2 linked regions of the Oreochromis niloticus genome follow. The protein of the gene in region 2 interacts with the protein of the main gene of each other region in a biochemical or structural test. Links are inferred from orthologs where the notes say so. Each region holds a gene or a part of one and is shown on either strand. Other genes may lie near its edges.

Region 1 (10,565 bases), on a different chromosome or scaffold from region 2:
ACAACAGACATGCACACACATATATAAACTCACAGTGTCTCCACAGTGTTTTACCTTTACTTTCCATTCCATTACCACACATGCCATGGAGAAAAACACCCATGGAGAATAACACTGCAGCATGAAGGCCCACCCTGTGTGTGTGTGTGTGTGTGTGTGTGTGTGTGTGTATGTGTGTGTGTGCGTGCGTGCGTGTGTGACCATGTGTAAAGCAGCTCTGACTCCTAATAGGGTGAGACTGTGTGCGCAGCAGTGTGCAGACAAGGTAAGTGACTATGTGAGAATGAGGCTAAATAGGTGGGTGGTGCTTTCAGCTGAGACTGGTTAGAGAAAATGTCCATTTGATGCGGCTGAATGGAAAATCAATTGACTCGCTCATTGTATTCAGCAGCTGTTCTGATGGCGAACAAGCTTACCCAAGGAGGGAAGAAAAAAAACAACAACCAAGGAAAGGTTATAGAGAGGAAGAAGAAAAAGAAAGAAAGAAATAGAAGTTGAACAGAATAAACAAAAAGAAAGTCGAAAAAATTGCTCTTGTGACAAAGGGGGGAAACAACTGCTCTCTCCACATACAGTTTGTTTACTGAATTACGAATGTTCATGCTTGTTTATTCAGCTGCCTGTTTTTCGTGTGTTTAGGACTACTAGAATGGCTTGAAATCTACAAAAGCTGAGAGCAGCATTTGAGCTGAGAGGATGATTACCTTGAAGACAGGTTTTGCAGCAGTGCCCCGCCAGCTGGACAGGATTGTCACAGTCCAGGGCCGGACAGTCTTGTTTTATGTTTTTGCAGTTTACCTTTCCAGACACCTTACCACGGCGACTCTTTTGCTGCCAGAGAAAAATAAAAACAAACACACACACATTAGTCAGCTCACCTGGAGTTACAGCTTACTGCAGGGGAAAAAAGTCAAACGCAACATGTGGAGTGAGATCACACTAAGCCAAAACTTACAGGTTCACAGTGGCACTGGACACAGTGCATGATGCCAAAGGGCTCCCCCAGGTCTGGGTGCCACTTGTCCTCCAGGGAATAAAAGCGACCTCCAAATGAGCATCCTGCAACACCAACATTGTTGATTACACACAGCAAACATTAGGCGATTACAACCTAATTTCTTTGGCTCTTTCCAAAATAAAGAACAACTTGATTAGAAAAGCAAAATGATATGCTTAAAAAAATGTTTTTCTTTTTGAGATATGCCAAAATTAATTAGGGAACACAACAACAACAACAACAAAACTTTTAAAAAACATATTAAAAGATAAGCTGGCCTTTCTGATATTTAGAGTTTTCCTACTATGTTCTGTCATAAGTGGTGGAACCTCATATTAAACATGGCCAAAGTTTTAAAGATCAGAGGATATATACAAGAAACCCCTGTGAACAAAAGCTCAAGGCTGAGTATAAGGCAAATAAGGATTATTTTGAACGGAATATCATGCAAAGCTATTCTAGTAAGTTCTAATAATAAAAAATTAAAACATTTAAAAATAAAAAACCACACAACTTAAAAAATAAGGATAATATTCCACTTTAATAGCAAGAAAAAGTAAAACTCATTTTTATGACAAACCACAGATACCAGACCACGATTGCCATTTGCATACTTAAAAACAAATAAATCCCACACATGAGCTCACTGCCCAGACTTGCTGGAAGCTACCAAAACTCCCTGGATGCCTCAAATTTTGGAACTCGAGCTTTGCATCCTGTCTGATCTAAATGATCCAGAGAGAAGTTCCACTCAAACTTATCAGAGATTCCCAGAAACACACACAGATCACAGGCCACGCCTTAATTAATTCAGTGGGCATATTATAAAGATTATACAGTATACTGAACTTCTAGTGAAAAGGATTTTTACAGTACATGATGGGTCAGCTATGTTTCAGTCTACTTTGAAATGAAAGTGAACAATGGGCTGCAACTCTTCCCATATTTTGCCCAAAGTGGATGTGAAGGAACTCTAACACTCTTGCAAAACATGTGAGCCTTTCACTTTAAACCCAGTGTGCTGGAGCCGAGCCACGGCTATAAAATACACATCCATGTCCTAATATGTAGGGACGGGGCTGTATATTGATGTTACAGGGGATAAAAATAGCTTTCAGTGTTGTTATTACTAGGCTGCACTCATAATTAAGTGTTTGTCACGCCGAGTTACTGCAGGAGTATTATAATTATTTTTGGTTAGGGTGACTGTATGTGGTGTGTGCACACACAAACTTGATGTTACCCTGGCCAGCTTCACTCGAGCTGATGGCTCTCCCCCGCTCACGGCTACCAAGCTGGTTCGCATTATTCTTTCATTAAAGTGACTGCACACTTTAAACAGTCCAGTCGAGTTAAAGGGAGAGCCAAACGGAGAGCCTCCCCACTCCGCGCTGCGCTCAAGTAGAGGAGGAGGAGGCTCTGAGGAGCCAGCGCTTGTAATGGAAAGTCGATTGATTAGAGTTTCCAACATGAAATTACACGTTATAACGGGGTGGTTAACGTGGAGTTCCCGCTGCTCTGAGCTCCAGAGTAGTTACCTTATAAAAACCGCGGCGAGCTTTTGTACGAAGGGGCTTTCACAAATGAATCAAAAGGCATCGACTGCGGTTATGACTCACATGTTTGCCGCTGGTTTACACATGAAGCAACCTGGAACCGGGAGAGGAAACTAGAAAAAAACGACTGTGTACTACTGCAGCGGAAAAAAACTAACTTTTAAATGTCGAGATTTAACGGTTTTTAAATGTTAGCTAGCTCCGCTATCGGCGCTGCTGTCACGTGCACAGCTGGGGGGGTGAACTGGGGTCATAACCCCACACCCATGAAACAACTCACGGGAAAAAGAGACATTTTAACAGTAAGTACTTTTATACCAAATTATGCACACTTGAAAAAATACAGCCTTCTTATAAAAAAAGAAATAATTTAAACAAAAGTTTTAAAGCAAACAAACTTTTAAATTGTTAGTTAGCTGCTGCTCAGTGCTGCCCCCTGGGTCACAAACTGTTTACACAGCAGGGGTTGTCTGATTTGGAAGCCTGAAACTGATGCTAACAAATGCAGCTTAGGTAGCCAACTTCTTCAGCGGCTTTCAAAGCGTGCGGCCATTTTTATAGCTATTGCTGGTATAAAAAAAAACAAAAAACAAACCAATATACACCAGCTGCCAGCTCAAGGCTGTAACACCGCTTTTCTTAGGTGGCTTCTCTTACGTTTCCAAAATTGTCTTACGTTTCCAAAACAACATACCTGATGTGCCTTTGAAGGGCAGCGGTTCTGTCTCGGGCTGGATGGGCAAAGAGGGAGACTTGAGCCGCGAGGCCGCTCCTCCGTGCAGCCACCACGCGCAGCTCAGCGCGCAAAGCAAGGAGTGGAGCGCGCAGGGAAGCAGCATCCCAAACCTCCGCAAAGGACTCCCTTCAAAAACTCCCGAGAAACCGGCTTCTTTAAACCAGCAATTACAGTAATGAGAGAGAATAAAAAGTTTCCTCCTTATAACAAAACGTCCTTTGTCGTTAGCTGTGAACGTCCGCTGTTGAGAATCATCCGAGTTTCGGCAAGACAAAAAGTTTTCCGTGAGCAGGGCAGTACTTGCACCGTCTTTCCTCGGTACCAGCGGTCTCCTCGCAGCCCCGTCTCGTTTGATTTTATAGGCTGCTTCCCTGACAGCTCCAAACAGCCGGGAGGAGGAGGAAGGGGGAAGATGAAGGGTGGGCCGGGTGATGGGTGAGGGGGTGGATGATGGACAGGGCAATCGACACCCCTATCAACTCAATACGCTGTCGAAAAGACTGGGCAGGTACAGCAGTGTGTTTCAACACACATATCTGAGACGAGGTGACGGCATAAATATCTTTCCTGGCATTGCATTAGCTTGGTAAATATTTTTTTTTTTCTGGTTGTTGTTAAAATAAAATAGCTTCTCTGCAACACCCCCTCCTATTTTTTTCATGTTGCATGTTTGATGTTGAAGTTATAAAGGACCGTGGGTGCTTTTAATAAAGTTTAATACGCTGCTGCTTCGGTATTAAAGGTGTCAGCTATATTTTTTTGTGTGTGTGCCAATCCCGTGGGAGTTTCGATAGTGGCATGCTGCTCTCTTGATTTAGTTCTCGTGTAATTGTATCAGTGTTGGTGTTATTTAGCGGTGATTACCCCTTTATCTGTCTGTTTCCCCAACTTTAATCATTTGGCCTTTGCACAGATTAAAGCGCTGTGCCGTAAGATAAAAGCCTAATCTGCTCACCGCAATGAGCGCCACGCTTTCAGCCATCTGACGCCCACGGACATGAGCCACAAGCTCTGGGGAGAAAGTGGGAATCTCCAGCTCATGTACAGTAAGGAATGTGTGAGTGTCCGCTGCTTTCTGTTCCCTTATTTTTTTCAAGTGCGTTTGGCGCTGAGACCTAAGTGACTTAACAGAAACAAATGAAAATAGTTGGAATACCTCATGGCAAATTTCTCCTGGCCCTTCTGCAGACCTCTGTGCCCCCCTCCCGCACAGTTTCCCTTTGGCTTGTCTCGAAGCCATAGCTGCTTGAACGGTTCCACTTAAAATCACATGTATTTTAAAATAAAATTAATTCATTTGTGGTTGTGTTGGGGGCTATATAACCTAAATTCTTTTACAAATTCACCACATCAACAACAAGTGAAATTTATTAGGGACTATTTAGCCCTGGGAAATGTCCCCATCAAACAAAAGCAGCGGTTAACAGTCCAGTTCCTCACTGTGGTCCCTACAGAGGGGAGCCCAGAACAAACTGGTCAGGTTTACATTACAATAGTGCTGCTCATGGTTGATTTATACCACAGGGTTCAGGAAAGGTCAGGCTTTGTGAAGAATGTTACCAAGCTTTCTGTATTTACAGTTCACCTGGTAGTTTGTGTCTCATTTTGCTCTTCTTTCCTATCAAATCCACACACCCCACTGACGCACAGCAGCACTGTGCACTCCGCTGTATATTATGTACCTCCTCCTAGACCGCTTTGGCGACAAATCGACTGCAAGGGCCATTAATATTACTAGCTCCATCTTAAATCGTTGCGCAAAATGTGCTAAATCGGTATGGCTTCGCTGGTAGATGTGTTTTCGCCTCTATGCAACATTTCAAACTCATCCGTGGATTACTTTGTCCACACATAGGCTAGAAAATGCATTAATATTGATAGCTCTATTAAACCGTTGCATTAAAAAAAGCGCCAGTTTCATTCGTTCCGTGCCAAAGGCGCAGGTAAGGTGTTATTTTTTTTATACATGTGTCACATTACATGGCCTTTAGGAGCCACTTCCACCCGAGTGTGAGGATTTACGCGGCTCCCCCCATCGCAACTGCCCAACCCTCTTTCACCTCAGCAATGGGACTCAATGATGGGCTATTTGCTCTTCATGATAGGGTGATAAGCGACTCTTTTCTTCTGCGCTGCAAAGTGATTAATTAAGCAGACGGGATGGCAAATCGTCTATATAAAAAACGCAGTATACATATACAGCCCCCCCCCCCCCCCATAGCATACTGACAGCGGGTTTTTGTGTATTGGAGGTGTCCTGCGCTTGAAAATCAGTCTGGCACCTCTGTTTCATAGTACTTAAAAATATAACACGACATTTCTCTGAGGTCTCAAAGTAATTCTTTTCGACCATCAACTAAAAGATCACAAATACACATTTAAGTTTCAAGGTGTCCGCTCTGCTCTGAGCGCAACTTTTATTTTGATGGTTTGTAAGGCTGGCAGGGGGAACACTGATCGAATAGTTTAATCCTTCGGCGAATTAAATCAGTCCTCACCTGCAGTATTTTATTTTGTTTTGCTTTATTTTATTTTTATCAGGGGAAAATCGTCATATTCCCTTACTAAAATCTGACTTTTAGGTTCAGAAATAAAGCAAATGATTTAAATAAAGTCATAATTCATGTATGTTTTATCAAGAGACACATTAAGAAAAAATAAACCTGAGCATGTTTATAATGACGTATTTATGACCTGTTGCTGATAACTCGCAAAGATTCAATCGCATTGTAAATCTTTTTTTAACGAGTGTATCTTGGCCTCAGATCCTTGGATTTCCCTCCACCGCAGGATTTATAGGGTCGTATAATGGTCATTATTCGGTATTGATTACAGATTGTTTCCTGGATAAAAACAATGGTCTTGGATTGATCACTGTCCCTCATTAATCTCCGCTTTAAGGCAGGAGATGAGCGGACTGGAAAGGAGAGGCTCAAAAGTCTTAAGTCATCTCTAATTTGCCACGAAAGATTACAGCCCAGTAAAAATCGATTAACCGTGGATGTGGATGCTGGCAGCTCTGTGCGGTTGTGATCAGGATATAATTAAAAGCAGACACGGTGCTCTCTCTATTTTATTAAGATTCCCGCTCCGCTGTCCGGGGAGCTTTCTCAGAAGAGTGCGCAATAACCTGAAACACTGCTGGCACAGAACGGCCGTGGATGTTTTTTACGTGACACCATTACAAGGACATTATTAAAAGTTCTCAGCGAGCCTGCGGCGCGCGCCTGGGTTTGCGAGGGAGGGGGGTGGTCAACGGTGGGTATCGGCTGTCAATCACGCATAATAAAGGTTCACCCACGAATACACTCATGGATACTTTCTTCTCTAATGGAGAGCAAATCGCTGTGTATTTGCTCTTTTTTCACGCCAGACGACCACAGCTTCATCCTACCCCCACCTCCACATCCAGTCTGATTCCACAGAGCACACTCAAGGGGGGGCGGGGGGGCATCCTGTTTGCTGCTCGGAGTGACGGGAGGTGTGAATATCAGTCAGCCCTGGATGTCCCGCTCATGCACCTCCCTTTCAGTCACCACCTGTTCCCAGACTCGATGTGCCTCCACGCGCTCACATTGAGAAGCGTCGGTTTCAGAATTATTCTCTTTAGAGTCATACACTCTGCGTGACCTTCCCTTTTTTGCCGCCATGCATCTCAAAGACCCCAATTATTTCTGACTCATGTTTAGATACACGGCCCCGGTTGTAATTGCGCGTTTCCCTTTTGGAATCCAGCGTCGATTTAGGTTTCTATCAAGGGCAGACATCTGAAAAAGAGGTAGCTTACTTCGAGATGCTGGAAACTGTCATCAAAAAAAGAAAAGTCTTTTTTTTTTTTTTTAAATCTATCTATCGTGTTTTTAAAAATGTTCTCTGAATAGGGTAAATTAAGACGCACACCATGCTTTCTCCCCTACCACTGTTATGCTGATGCTGATAATAATAAGAGGCTGTAAAGCTAATTGTGTACTGATGCCGGTAGCGGAAAAGGGGAGAGAGGGGGCGGGCGAGTGGGGAGTGAAATGGGCCTTTGCTCAGTCAGTATGTGAATGTGCAAATGGAAGAAGACGTCTTGCAGAGTTGATGTTTATTCATACAAACTGAATCAATTTGCAGGCACAGTCGAAACTGTGGAGAAAGGAGCGCTGCCCCTGTCTTCTCACCGTCTCCTATTGTGGATCGGGGAGGAGGCGTGACCATAATTACTGCAGGCAATTAGCGAGCATAGGCTATGTCCAAATGCAGTGGAGGTGAGTGTGTGTGTGTGGGGAGGCTGCTCGGTTTGTTTTGACACCTCCGGGAGAAGACCTGTGCAGTTACAGGGGACGTTCCCAGCGTTTAGTTTATCACCAGGACAATGTAGTTTGTGCGTGTGTGGAGTAACAGATGATTAGTAGTGGAGAGTCTACAAAGTTACGCTGAAATTATAAAAAGCTCTTCCTATTTACACCCAGCGAACTTCCCCACACTGACCTTAAATTAGTATGTGATTTTCAGTGATCAAAATACTTATCAGTGAGTAATTGTGCTAAAATGTAGGTACAATAGAGCAAGGAGCTAAGACTTAAAGGAAACATGTTTTTATAAGCAGTGGTTACTCGGAGCTAATTCCGAATCAGAATGCTTTGTTAATTCCAGAGTGAAATCAATGAGAAATATTTTAGAAGACATGGAAAACAAATTATACTCTATTTATGCAATAAGCAAAACACAGTGTTTCCTTTATTCTGTAAGGCAAAACCCTAAAATGATAAAGAGAAAACCCCAACAATCAGATGACCCACCCATGAGCAAGCACTTGACAACAGAGGGAAGGACAAACAGGAAGAAAATGCCAACAGAATGGGGGAGTGGAGTCCATCTGCTGGTTGGGGGTAGATGGCATAGTATTATTAAAGAAATATTTAATAATTATATGTAGTGCTGTACTTTAAAGTCTGGCTATTTCAATAGTTAGTATGTTTCTACTTAGGTTCTTTTCCTGTGTTATATGCATTAGTCTGTCATGTTTTTCAAGATATCACTCTGCAGAGTAAAGGTGTATAGATAGATCCACAGACTCTGAAGGATCAGGTAAAGAATAAAGATAATGGCAGCTAGGTGCACTTTTGGGGGGCCTCTTTGAACAAGAAGACCATTCAAAGTAGCTACTTCACAGGATGCAAAAGACAAAAAGAGAACAAACACAAAGAACCAAAAGAAAATATAAAGAAGGATAAAACATAATGAGATCATAGAATAGAGTAGACGTGTTTGATTTAATAGGTGAATAAAAAAATCAGCTGAAAGCATGCAACTCAAATGCTCAATTATAATTATCTCAAGTACTGCAAGCACTTGCAGTACTTGAGCAAAAGGCGGAAAAAGAAAGTCCAGCATCTTGCTGTGCAGTTCATGTTCAGAGAGCCAGAATGCGACACACATTGCCAAATGTGCACACATGGCACGACACGTTATCCATCCTTCCTGGCAGACTCCCTTCCCACCCTCCCCGCTCTCTCCTGTCGGCCCTTTGAAATCTGCATCACTCGGTCTCATTTCTGTTTACAAGAGTCAAATTGCTTCCACACACTTTATTTGTAAAAGTCGATAGATGTGCAGAGGGGAGAGAGAAGGAGAGAGCGAGCTGTGCCAAAAGCGGTCACGGCACATGCATTTTTTACTCGCGCGGTAAATACCTCCACCGTTAAACATCAACACGCAGTCATCCTGATGAGTGGTCTGAGAGGCGACAGTCTAACAAGCTTCTCCTGACTCATCAGTTATTACAGAGTCTGACCTGCTGCTTAACTGATTTCGTGCTTGCATGAAATGAATGATGCTCAATGGAAAGTTGGCCCAAGTTCCACTGCTACTCCTCCTCCTCTTCAAAAGTGCCCCTGAAGAACTTCTGCTGGTTGATGCTTGTTTTAATTGCAAGGATGTTTCTTTTTCAATGAGATTTACTGTTTGGGTGGTCTGACTGAACATTGGAAGACAATGGAATAGGAAAGAAAAGGCAAACAATCGCTGAAGACAGGCAGGGAGGAGAGGATGGTACAGGAGGGAGTTGCTCATAAGGCTTTATTGCTTAATCACAAGTCAAGTGGTCAAGAATGAATGTGAATATCAGCCGAGCCAAGAATAAATAGTCCTCGGCACCAGTGGTTCTTCCAGCGGGGCTTGGAGCCCTGAAGATTGAGGAGAAAATGAAGGAAAGTTTATGCTTTCATTATTTTCTTTGCCAGAGAATCACAAAATGAATCTTTCCCAAACTTACAAATCCAGAAGTGTTTGGAGCAACAACAAAAAAAAGAAAGAAAAAATGAAAAAAAGGGAGGTGCAACGAAAGGAATAAAAACATTTTTAAAACACCCCCAAATAATACAGATTTGACAAATAAAATGGCAAAAACAGTACCACTTTAATTGTATACTGTGCAAAATATAGTATGTTATTAGTGTGGTGAGGCCATTAGTGAAACCAAGTGGAGCCAGAGACCTAAAAAAGCATGAAATGTCCAAAAAACACAACTTTAAAGTTTTTTTTTCTTTAATCTGCAGATTAAAATGAATTTAAACACCAATAACACCGAAATGAGCAAATAGCTGTTTCTGTTCAAAGAATGAACACACTTATGGCTCAGAATGGTTTCACACTGACGTGTGTAACATGGCCATCTAGTATCATAGTTTGGTGTCTTCTTCTGCCTTCCCTCTTTCTTAAGTATTTTAAACTGTTTTTAAACTGTTCTTATGATGCTTTTCTGCAGCACAGGCTTGGGTCTTGTTGGATGCAGATTCACAGATTGTTACTAATATTTTTGCTTTATTCTTGTGTCAAGTCAGATACTTTCTGTTAGTATACTTTTTAGCAGGATACAGGCCTGGCAGAGGTAGGAAGTGAAAGATTTCAATAGAGAAAGAGTATGAAAAAAAGTGAGAGATTTGTCTAAAGACCCAGAACAATTGTCAGGACACAATGACTTGGCCAAGTCAAGAATTGTAGACTTAAAGAAAACAATTACTGGAAACTTGCACAGGAATGGATAGTGGGGATTAAGACCAAAAAAATTCCACTTCTACCGAAAAGATGAAATTATGAGATGAAACTAGAGATCTTTTGGCCACAGAAACACTGCTGAGAAAGATGAGAGACATACAAGCCAAAGATCAGTGTGCCCCACAGTGAAGCACGGTGGTGGGAGTATGCTGCAGTATGTCCGGAAGTGGAAATCACACTAAGGTGGATGAATCATGAATATATAAAAGGATATGTGAAGATTTCAGGAGAAAAC
Region 2 (9,792 bases):
TCACACTTTAGGTTCTCTAATGTTCTAATAGTGTTTTGAGCAATTTAGTGAGAAGAAAATACACAGTACGCTGTATTTACATAATCTTGTGCTTTGTACTAAAACAGGCTTTAAATTTCTATTTAAGTTAATAATTGTTCATAAACTTCTTAATTAAGTGTTATTAAGTTTCTTTTCACAGTGATTCTTCTACCTCTCTTTGAGCCAGGTCAAACTGATTTTCTCTCAGTTCACCGTCCGTCAGGGCAATGATGACACTGGCTGTCCGGTAACCTACAGCACAGAAGGAAGAGCTGTTAAAATGCTAAAAAGAAACAAAAATCTGTAAGAGCACAATCTATGAATCGGAAAAATATTTTGAACATATTTGTGATGTGAAGAGCAGCTGTGTTTATATTGTAAATTGAATTAGGAGTAAAATTAATTTTAATGTTTGGGTCAAAGACTTTACTATGATTAAGTGTTTAAAAAAGAAAGAAAGAAAAAATCTACTTACCATCTCCAGTCCCGTAGTATATTTGCTCGCTGGCCTGAGAGGGAAGTTTTGAGGCGTCAGTGGCTATAAACTTTAAAAAGGCCTCATTTAAAGGCTCAGATGCCATGCTGTTGGGTAGGGTCCGTTTTTCATTGACTTTACAGATGACTTACCCTTTGAAATCCTCTGTGCATGAAGGTGTCTCCGCCTGGCTGCACCATACGTAACTCCTCCAGTCCCGCCCGAATCTGATCTCTGATTATTGACATGTGAAAAAGGACAAAAACTACTGATCAGAAGGGAGAGATACAACAAATTAAAAATAATTAATAAATTTAGGTCTGTTCGTATATGTGCCACCTGTCTTCTGTTAGAGCCATGAGAATCCTTCCTTCTGTTGAAAATACAATAAAAGACATCCGTAGCTGAGGACTGGGGAAAAAAAGCACCGGAGATGATTGTTACATGTTATAAATCTTTATATATATTTTTTTCCCCCCCTTTACTCTTTTAGTGCCACGGCTTGTGCGTAGCTGTACCTGATAAACTTGTGAGCCAGATGATCAACAAAGTAATAGATCTCATTCCAGTAATGCTGCACACTGCCAGACCTGAAACAAAGATTCAGCATTTTCAGTGACACACAGGAGCTTTGGCTCAAAAGTCAATTCACAGTTGACTGAAAAAGACACGCAACTTAGAAACACTCTAATAGTGAACAACTTAATGCTGTTTTCCTGTTGTTTAGCTTCTTCACTTCCAGAATTAGTAAGAATATAAAGGGAGCCATCAAAACAGACAACTAATGTTTTACAAGAAAATCATGACATTAAAAGCTGAAAGACGGAAACACAGAATTTCTGTAAAATTGTGGAAACTGCCTTTAAAGTCTAGATCTCCTTATAACCCTGTAATGTTATGTAATTAAAGACAGTATTGTTTTTGCACTGCATACAATATAATAGCTTTAGCTGGCTGAAAGAAGGACTGGAGCCTATCCTCACAGTGAGCAGCAGTGATGGAGAACATGGTGGACATGTCTGACTTATTAAAGGTGTTTTAGTTAAAGATTATTCTTATTGTGATTATCAGCTATCACCTGAATCTTTTTGTGTAAAAATATTTTAGAAAGAAGAGGAAATTACTGGTGTTGAGTGCTTTAAAAGAAGGCGACTGGACTTCTTTTTGGCTCGTGAAGATGTTTTTAACTTTTCATCCACAAGGCTTCTTCAGTTCTAAAACAGCTGGCCAAGAGTCCAGGTATTTAACCTGTAGCGGGGACTGTCCGCTGTCCGCTTGTCCCCTGTCCACTCAACTGAGCTTTAGCTGTTGTGGACACCAAATTATGGAATCAGTGTGAACAACTGATATTTTTAAACAGCTTCTAAAAGCATAAATATTCTCCAAGACATTTTAAGTTTAGTACCAGAGTTTTAATCATTTTTTAACCTCCTGCTTTTTCTGTTTTATTTCTTATAAATTATATTGTCTATTTATTTCAATTTTGTATGTTTTGCTGTTATTTATTTTCCTTTTATTTGATATTTGTTTCTGTGTTTTATTGCTCCTTTTTTTTAACTAGAAAGTACTCAGCTCAGCTATGCTGCTATGCTAAATAAGGTTGGATGGGACTGGTATACTATTCTTGGTATACTATTCATAAAAAATCTCACTTTTTTTATGTGACTTTACTGCCCACTTTTACTCCAAAGCCAAAGTTAAAGTGCCACTTGGCTTCCTCTTGGGTCCAGGTTTTGTGACAGGTGCAGACCAACATAAACAGATGATTTCTCTAAGTGGAAGGCAGTAATTAAAGAGACTCGTGGAGCAAATATGCACAACTTCTTGTGCCCCCTTTCTCTCTCTGCACTCTCCCTTCTCCTCCTCCCTTATGTTTTCATTTATCCTGTGATGTGAGTCGCAGTGCAGAGAAAGCCAAACATTCGGGATCTTTGGAACATCTGGCTCTAATGGAGAAAGGGTTCTGCAGATCGAAGCGCAGAGAGATGAAGTTGGGACTGGATGTGGGCAGCGCCTGTCAGCGAAGAGCGGCCGCTGTTGGAAAACAGGAATCCCTGCAGGGCAGTTTATCATCCGCTGATGCATGAATGCATGAAGATGTCACCGTGTAAACACACTTCATGTCAGTTCTTACAACTTTGAGGTGATTTGCAAAAAGAAAACGATGTGCATGTTTTTGATTTATGTATGCGTGGCTCTTTTAAGAGAGAATTTATGAAACAGCACACTGATGTGACTTGACCTGTTCAACAGAGTCATGTTAGCCTCATGACATTTAATTGAACCCTTATGTGAGCTCTTGGCATTTGAGTCTCTTATAATCTGCGACTGTTTCCTTCAATAAAATGGGACGATACCGCAATTACAGCTGAGAACAATAAGTATTCTAATATAAGTACTATAATATCACAATCATTTAAGCCATTTAAGACAAAAACAACCTTTTGTATATGAATAGAAATATTTCGGGGTTTCACATTGTACAAAATAACACATTTAAAGACTTTATTTTAGACTCTGAAACTCCAGTTGGTGTTTTTCACCATGTTGGCCTTTATATACAACATTTCTAATCTTATTAACCACTGAATGCACTTCACCCTGCAATCCACACTCATCCATTCACACATATTCATATAGTGCTTTTTCTTCAATGCATACGTCAAACATACTGACACAGATTGGTGCAACAGGGGCCGCTTTACCTCCTAAGCTGTTTGCACAGTAACTCAGCTACTGATTACCTAGAAAATCAGTTGATAATTCATTCAGTTTTAATTTGATGGTGTAGATCACAGCTGCAATGAGTTTGTATCTCACAAATGCAAATGCAATATCATGAGTTGATGGAGTTTTGAACTGTTGCGGCAGGTACAGCTTTAGGAAATTAGCAAATCTGATGACCGAGTCTGTTCTTTTTAAATCAGGCTTCTACTGGTGTGATCAGAAAGCCTCAAGCAGGTGACATTTCAAAATTAAAAATGTATTATATACATGTCACTTAGAGTCACATTCGATTCTGTTTCTATCTGGAAACCAGACCCTACCTTCAACTTTATAAAGGCCTTAATATTTCAATAGGCTGAAACATGCTAGTTACATCACAGTAGCATATTTTTGTCAGGCAAGTAGCAGCCCATCATTGCCTCTGGATGACAGCTTGACTGATGTGTGCACCTGTGCCTTCAAAAAGCACCAATGAGTCACACAGATCTCTTCTTTGATCAAGTAAAAATAAAAGCACTCACTTGTCCAAAACAAAGTAGAGGTCAAATCCTCCATAGCACGATGACCCGGCTTGCCTCCGCTCAAATAGCTGAGCTGTGCTGCCAGCCGCCAGGACTGCCACCAGTATACCCAGTTCCACACAAAGCAGGACCCGCCTGCACCAGCACTGGGACATCACTCCAAATTTAAGAGAGCAATCAGCCTGGGAGATGGTAAACATAAATATTGTCTCAGGATGAAGGATTTTTCTTTTCCTTTGGGCTCCTCTCCTTACAGTGCTCTGGAGGTTTCAGCCATACAGACTGAGGCATGAAGAGAGCTCTCCTCCTGATCAGGGTCCCATCTCCTCAGGAGCAGATGTGTGGTGGCAGAGGAGGAGTGAGGCTTGTGGGACCGAGTCTTCGACTCCCACTCACATCACACTTGTAGCAAACTTTGCCAAGAGTTTGCACAGCAAAACAAAACACTCATGCATAGGAGGCTGATTTACTCCTCCTCTCTTCTCAGAGTGTTTCTCTGAATGACTCCACAGCTATGTCCAGGTATTTGTTTTCACTCATACTTTTCTTTGTTTTGTTTTTTTCTTCTTCTTTTTTTCCTTTACTTCTTTTGGTAGTTCACTTGATTCTACAACTTACCCATCAGTGCCACTCAGTGGTAAACATATGCACTGTGCAAAGCTGTCACTGCAAATAAACATTAAACACTTTTTTTCCACACTGCTTTTAATATTTTAGTGGAACTAAATGTCAGATGATTCACAAGAGAAATACTATACAGGGTTAATATAAAGTGTCCAAATGAAGGATTTTCTCTTTGAGGCTGAACCATTTCTTGGTTATGCTGCTATAGGCTCAGACTGCTGCAGGGAGCCCTGCAATACACTGTGATGCACTGAGCACTCCTTTACTCACCTCTTTTCATTACTCATTTCATTGCTCGAGGCTTCTTCCTGTTAAAAGGGAGTTTTTCCTTCCCACTGTCACAAACTGCTTGCTCACTAAGTGCCTCTTGTATAGTGTTGCTTTGATTTGGTTTATATAAATAAACCTCAGTGGAACTGAACTGAATTAAACTCTTTTAGGTGATTAACAATCGGTAAACCAAATGGTTAAAGAATAACACAGGATGATTCACATGCTGTCTGATACTGTATGTTCCACTTCAGAAGCCAAATCAATTTAATGTCCCACACTCAACAAATTAGCAGTCATTAACAATAAAGAATAATTTTATATTTCTGTTATGTAGGAATTTCAAAAACATGATTGTTGGATTTTATTATACTTAGTAAGATCTGGAATATATCATTTCGCACGCTTTGTTACGTGTATTTCATCTCTTTCCACCAGGTGCCCTTGGTCTGATTTCTAGTCTTTGCCTCATCCCTCAGTCCCCTGGAGCAGCTGGATGCCTTTTCCAGCTTCTCCTAAGTGTCTTACAGGATTAATGTGCCAGATCATCATCATCATTATTATTATTATTATTCTTATTATTCTTCTTCTTATTATTATTATTATTATTTCATGTTAAATCACTCACGATAGAAGTCCCCTTCTATCAGTATCACTACAGTCAACTTTTCAGAAAGTTTCGAAACCTCATCACACAGTACTTTCATAATTTCTTTTGATGGGAAATCTTACTGTATGTTATGTAAATAAATATAAATAAATAAACAGTTCTTTTGTTTGTTTTTGGAAATTACATAAGAAGGATAGTAAGACTTTTGGCGAAAAAAAAAATAAAATAAAGATATTTTGTTTGTTTTTTAAAATTTCCCTTAGCTTCAGTTATGAGTCAGCTCCTCTCTTAACTGCTGAGTCAGTATTCCCGCATTTCAGAGCTAACGTGTGAGTGGACCCTGTAGCCTGCAGGTGGTGTAGCGGGTCAGGAATCAGCACCTTGTGATAAAGTCTCTGAGGCATAAACAGTATCGGGATTCTGTTACACAAACACGACCAAGTCTATCTTATTTAACCGATGTAGGTTGTCGAGAAACAGTTGTAGTGCACAAATACAGGATAGGCTACATGTCAGGTGCTCGGTGATGCTTTGTGGTCCGGCTATAGGTGTTTTTTCCCCCTTTAATTTTAAATGTTTCTAACATGTTTATTAACACAGAAAGAAATGACACGGATTTTACCCGCGCTTACGTCCGATGTAAAGCCCCCTAAGTCACCTGACAGCAGGTGAAGCACCTCTCTGGCTTCAGAGGCATGGGTGTGTGCATTGCTGTGCGCTCGGTGCTGGATGTCAGCGAAATCACTGCAGCAGCATGGAGACGTGAGGAAACAGCGCCGCTGGGCAGAAGAGTCTTTTCAGCGCCCTTTTCTCTTACTGCAGCACAATTACCAACTTTATCTCCTCTGCATATTTGATCAAAGGCAATGGAAGTCGCTCCTAGATTTTTGTTCCTGCTGTGCGGTCTTTGCGTTTCTCTGGCGGCTGATTGGGAGACTGTGGAAACAACTTTTACTGACCTCGGGGACGAAATCGACTACAAGGATCCATGTAAAGCCGGTACTGTCCATATTACTGTACATCATACCTCCTTCTCTTGTTGTGTGTTATTGGTGTATTTTTTGGCCAACAGCCTTTAGTCTTGAAGGCTCCAATCCCTGTGAGAAGGGCTAGATGTTTATTAAAGGATAAACCTTTAAAAGAAGGGAAAATGATGCTCTCAGCTTAATAGGTGTGAAAACTGGATGTGAATAAGCTTTAAACCAGGGGAAATATTTTCAATCCAAAAATAATATTCATATATATATATGTATATATATATATATATATGTATATATATATATATACAGTATATATATATATATATTTTACATTTTATTGTTGTTTGAAAATATTTAGAATAGCAGCTAATCGATTGTGAAGATGTTACACAATATGTTCAAATACAAAAAGTGTAAATGTTGTACATCCTCTGGAACAAAAAGTGATTTTTTTTAACCTAAAGCTATTAAATCAAGTTTAATAAGAAGTTAAAAAAAACCTGTTAAACGACATGAAAATGGTGTAAATGCAGTTTTAAAAGACAAACAAAGCGATTGTGCCATTGCAAAATGCAGTGGTTTTTACAAAAAGGACTACTTTTAAAGTAAAATGTAGACTTTCTGTACTGAATAATTTCAACCAATTATTTTTTTGTTTGCATTTATTAATATGTGTTTTATCTTTCAAAGTAAAGCAAGCATGTTTTTATCTTTACTCAGTTGTAAGAAAGAGATGCAGAGGTGACAGTGACGTTATAGACACAGCACAGTATGTACCCCAGATTAATTTATTTAGTGAAATAATTGTTCTTTTAATCATGTTATACTTTTTTTTAAAAAAAACCCTATTATTACTGTATTTTCAGTATTTTCAATTTTAGTGTTCAACAGTGTAAATGTTGTTACACTTCAAAGGTCTGTCATGTAAAATAACAGTAATTCTGGTAGAGAATGTTAAAATAATACATGCTCCAAAATAAAGTAATGCCATATTTCCTTAATATAACGACAGAGTATTGTGAGCAAGATGCAAGAAACTGCATCTGTTGAAATTAATGTGTTAAAGTACAATAGTTGTTTCTTAAATGCAATGAAGAGTAACTTTAAATACCTGCAGTCAAGACAATACCATAAACTTTCAATTAACATAAGTGCAGTGGTACATGGCACATGTCTGTGTTTTTAATATAAACGGGTTGTACTGTCATAACTAAAAGTTTAGGCAATGGCACAGATTTAGCATTTCACACACTTTGGTTCAATTTTTTTGTTACATTTTTACTTCCTTTGATGATGAAGAACAATCATAAGCATTTTATGCATTTCAAAGACTTTTATTGTTAAACAAAAAACATTTTTGCAAAGAGTCAGTATGTACAATGCTGACCTTTCTTCATAACTTCTGCAATTCTGCACGACGTGTTGGATATCAGCCTCCGAGCCAAATCCTAATTGATGGAGATCCAAACTCCAGGATGTTCCCAGTATGTGAGCTTCTGCTTGTCCATCCACTTTTTTAAGGTCTTGCTTAGGCATAAACTCTTGGTCTGGAGAGTTTCGACTCGCTTTTGGCTTATGACATGGCGCTCCATCATGCATGAATGTGATTATGATCATCGTTATGATCGACTTGGTGCACTGACAAGCCAGGAATGGATGATCATCAATCAGGATTTACCACAGAAACTGACATCCAGTCTGCCACAGAGGACTGCAGAAGTCATGAAGAAGAACATGTTCCTCATGTTTAACATTTTTTGAGAGGGGAAAAAATCCCATTAAAACAAAACATGTTTAATGTCATATTATGCTATATTGGTAAAGGACATCCAGGCAATATGTATATGTATATATACATATATATATATATTTATATATATGTATAAAAGAAAAGATTTCCATCATCTAACAAACAGTTCACTGTGGTTATCCTGGGGCCTCCAGCAGGTTGGGGTTCCTTTTTCACTTGTGACTTCTGAAGCTTTCAAAACAGACCACTCTTCCACTCTAGGGGAGTTGCCTGGAGACTTGAGGTCACTGAGGCCGTGCCAGCACAACCCTCAGCTGGACTGTGGTGAAATCCCTCGAGCTCCAGAGCATGGGGTGCACACTGCAGGGGTGACAGTCATTTACAGTCACCCTTTGCTTGAGTGAGTTTACTTCAAAGGCTGACACAGGGCCCACTACCTCTTTTCATTTGTACTTTCAAAGGTTGTTACATCACACTGTTAAATGAGGTATTTAGAGTGAAAGACTCAAGTGAGCAGCTCTGCTTGGCCAATATGATGGATATTATTTCTCAGAGAGCGTGTCATGTCATCTTTGAGTTTTGTAAGTTATCTACAACCCTTAATTGTGTTCCTCACTCTCACCTTTGTTGGCCAATGGAGGATGTTTCATAGCTAATCTTGTAGCTCAGCATAGAAGTTTAGGGTTTCTTCGTTCACTTCCCCACGGTCTGTTAGAGCCCAGTTTTCTGTCAGACTCTTCTTTAACAGTTCTCTGCAGCTGACATTGAGCTATGCCATATTTTGAAGCTGTTTCACCACTTTTGTCTTCTACTGTGTTTGCTGCACTGCTGACTTTGTAAGAAATCCTGTAGTGACGCAACTTGTTTTTTTTTTGAAGGTATTGCAGAAAAGTTGATGAGACCTTTAAAAATCTACCTCTGGGGCATTTACCTCTGTGAATTCGTGGAGTTCACTCGTTTTGTGTGTCAAAGTGCAAATTCAGTCCATTTTGTCTGCTGTTAGCATTTTATATACAGACCTGTATGAAAGAGCCAATGCTCATTTCTTTATATTGTGGTATGGAAAATATGTGTAGTGATTTATTGTAGCAAGAATACATGGAGAGCCAGTGTATGAGGTAAAAAAAATGAGTTCAATTTTAATAAGTTTGAATTTTTTGTAATTTCTTTGTGATTTCTTTATGTAGTCTTCAGGAATAGTTCTAGAGGCTTCTTGGAGGACATTCAAAGCTCTTCTTTGGCTGCTCTTTGTTCTGTTCTGTCAAATATGATCCCACACTGCATCAGTAATGTTGAGGTCCAGGCTTTGGGGAGACCAATCCATGAGTCTGGTCTCATGGATTGGTCTCCTTAATAAAAATTAATCAAACACTTTACAGGAGGTACTGCATGGTGGATCAAAATCTAGTGGTATTTTTCTATGTTCATAATTCCACAAATTTTGACAGGATCTCCATCACCACTGACTAAAATGCAGCTCCAAACCATGACAGAGCCGCCACTGTGTTTTACAGACAGCTGTAGACACACCCTTCCCTCACCTCCTGACCTCCTCCATATATCTTGATGATGATTTGAATCAACAATTTGGATTTATCACTCCATCAGTCTAGTTCTTGTGTAATTTGGTATACCTCAGTTTTTCCTTTCTGTTTCTCTTTTCTAATAATGGCTTATTGACAGCCGTCCTTCCACTGAGACCATTTCTGATGAGGCTTCAGTGAACAGCAGATGAATCAACTGAAGAGCCAGATGCGTCTCTCAGATCCTGTGTCAGGGCCTTTCTGGACGTGTTTTGCTATTTCTTGAGGACA

What was found.
Region 1: of the proteins of bone morphogenetic protein 1 (region 2) and chrd, one has a biochemical effect on the other in vitro, tested with the Homo sapiens proteins (3 studies listed by BioGRID and IntAct). The link is inferred for Oreochromis niloticus from reciprocal best matches to the Homo sapiens genes BMP1 and CHRD.

The regions. Positions count from the first base shown.
Region 1 is NC_031979.2:6,276,506-6,287,070, reverse strand, and holds the start of chrd (chordin), read right to left. Parts: upstream 3,893-10,565; 5' UTR 3,393-3,892; coding exon 3,248-3,392; intron 2,856-3,247; exon of another isoform or gene 2,782-2,855; intron 2,758-2,781; exon of another isoform or gene 2,617-2,757; intron 2,555-2,616; exon of another isoform or gene 2,536-2,554; intron 1,060-2,535; coding exon 956-1,059; intron 832-955; coding exon 705-831; intron 1-704. UniProt on the Homo sapiens protein: Dorsalizing factor. Key developmental protein that dorsalizes early vertebrate embryonic tissues by binding to ventralizing TGF-beta family bone morphogenetic proteins (BMPs) and sequestering them in latent complexes.
Region 2 is NC_031972.2:22,681,995-22,691,786, forward strand, and holds the start of bone morphogenetic protein 1, read left to right. Parts: upstream 1-5,751; 5' UTR 5,752-6,114; coding exon 6,115-6,247; intron 6,248-9,792. Other genes in the region: antxr1b (anthrax toxin receptor 1), read right to left, coding at 194-273, 497-530, 649-730, 836-907, 1,015-1,086, 3,745-3,944. UniProt on the Homo sapiens protein: Metalloprotease that plays key roles in regulating the formation of the extracellular matrix (ECM) via processing of various precursor proteins into mature functional enzymes or structural proteins.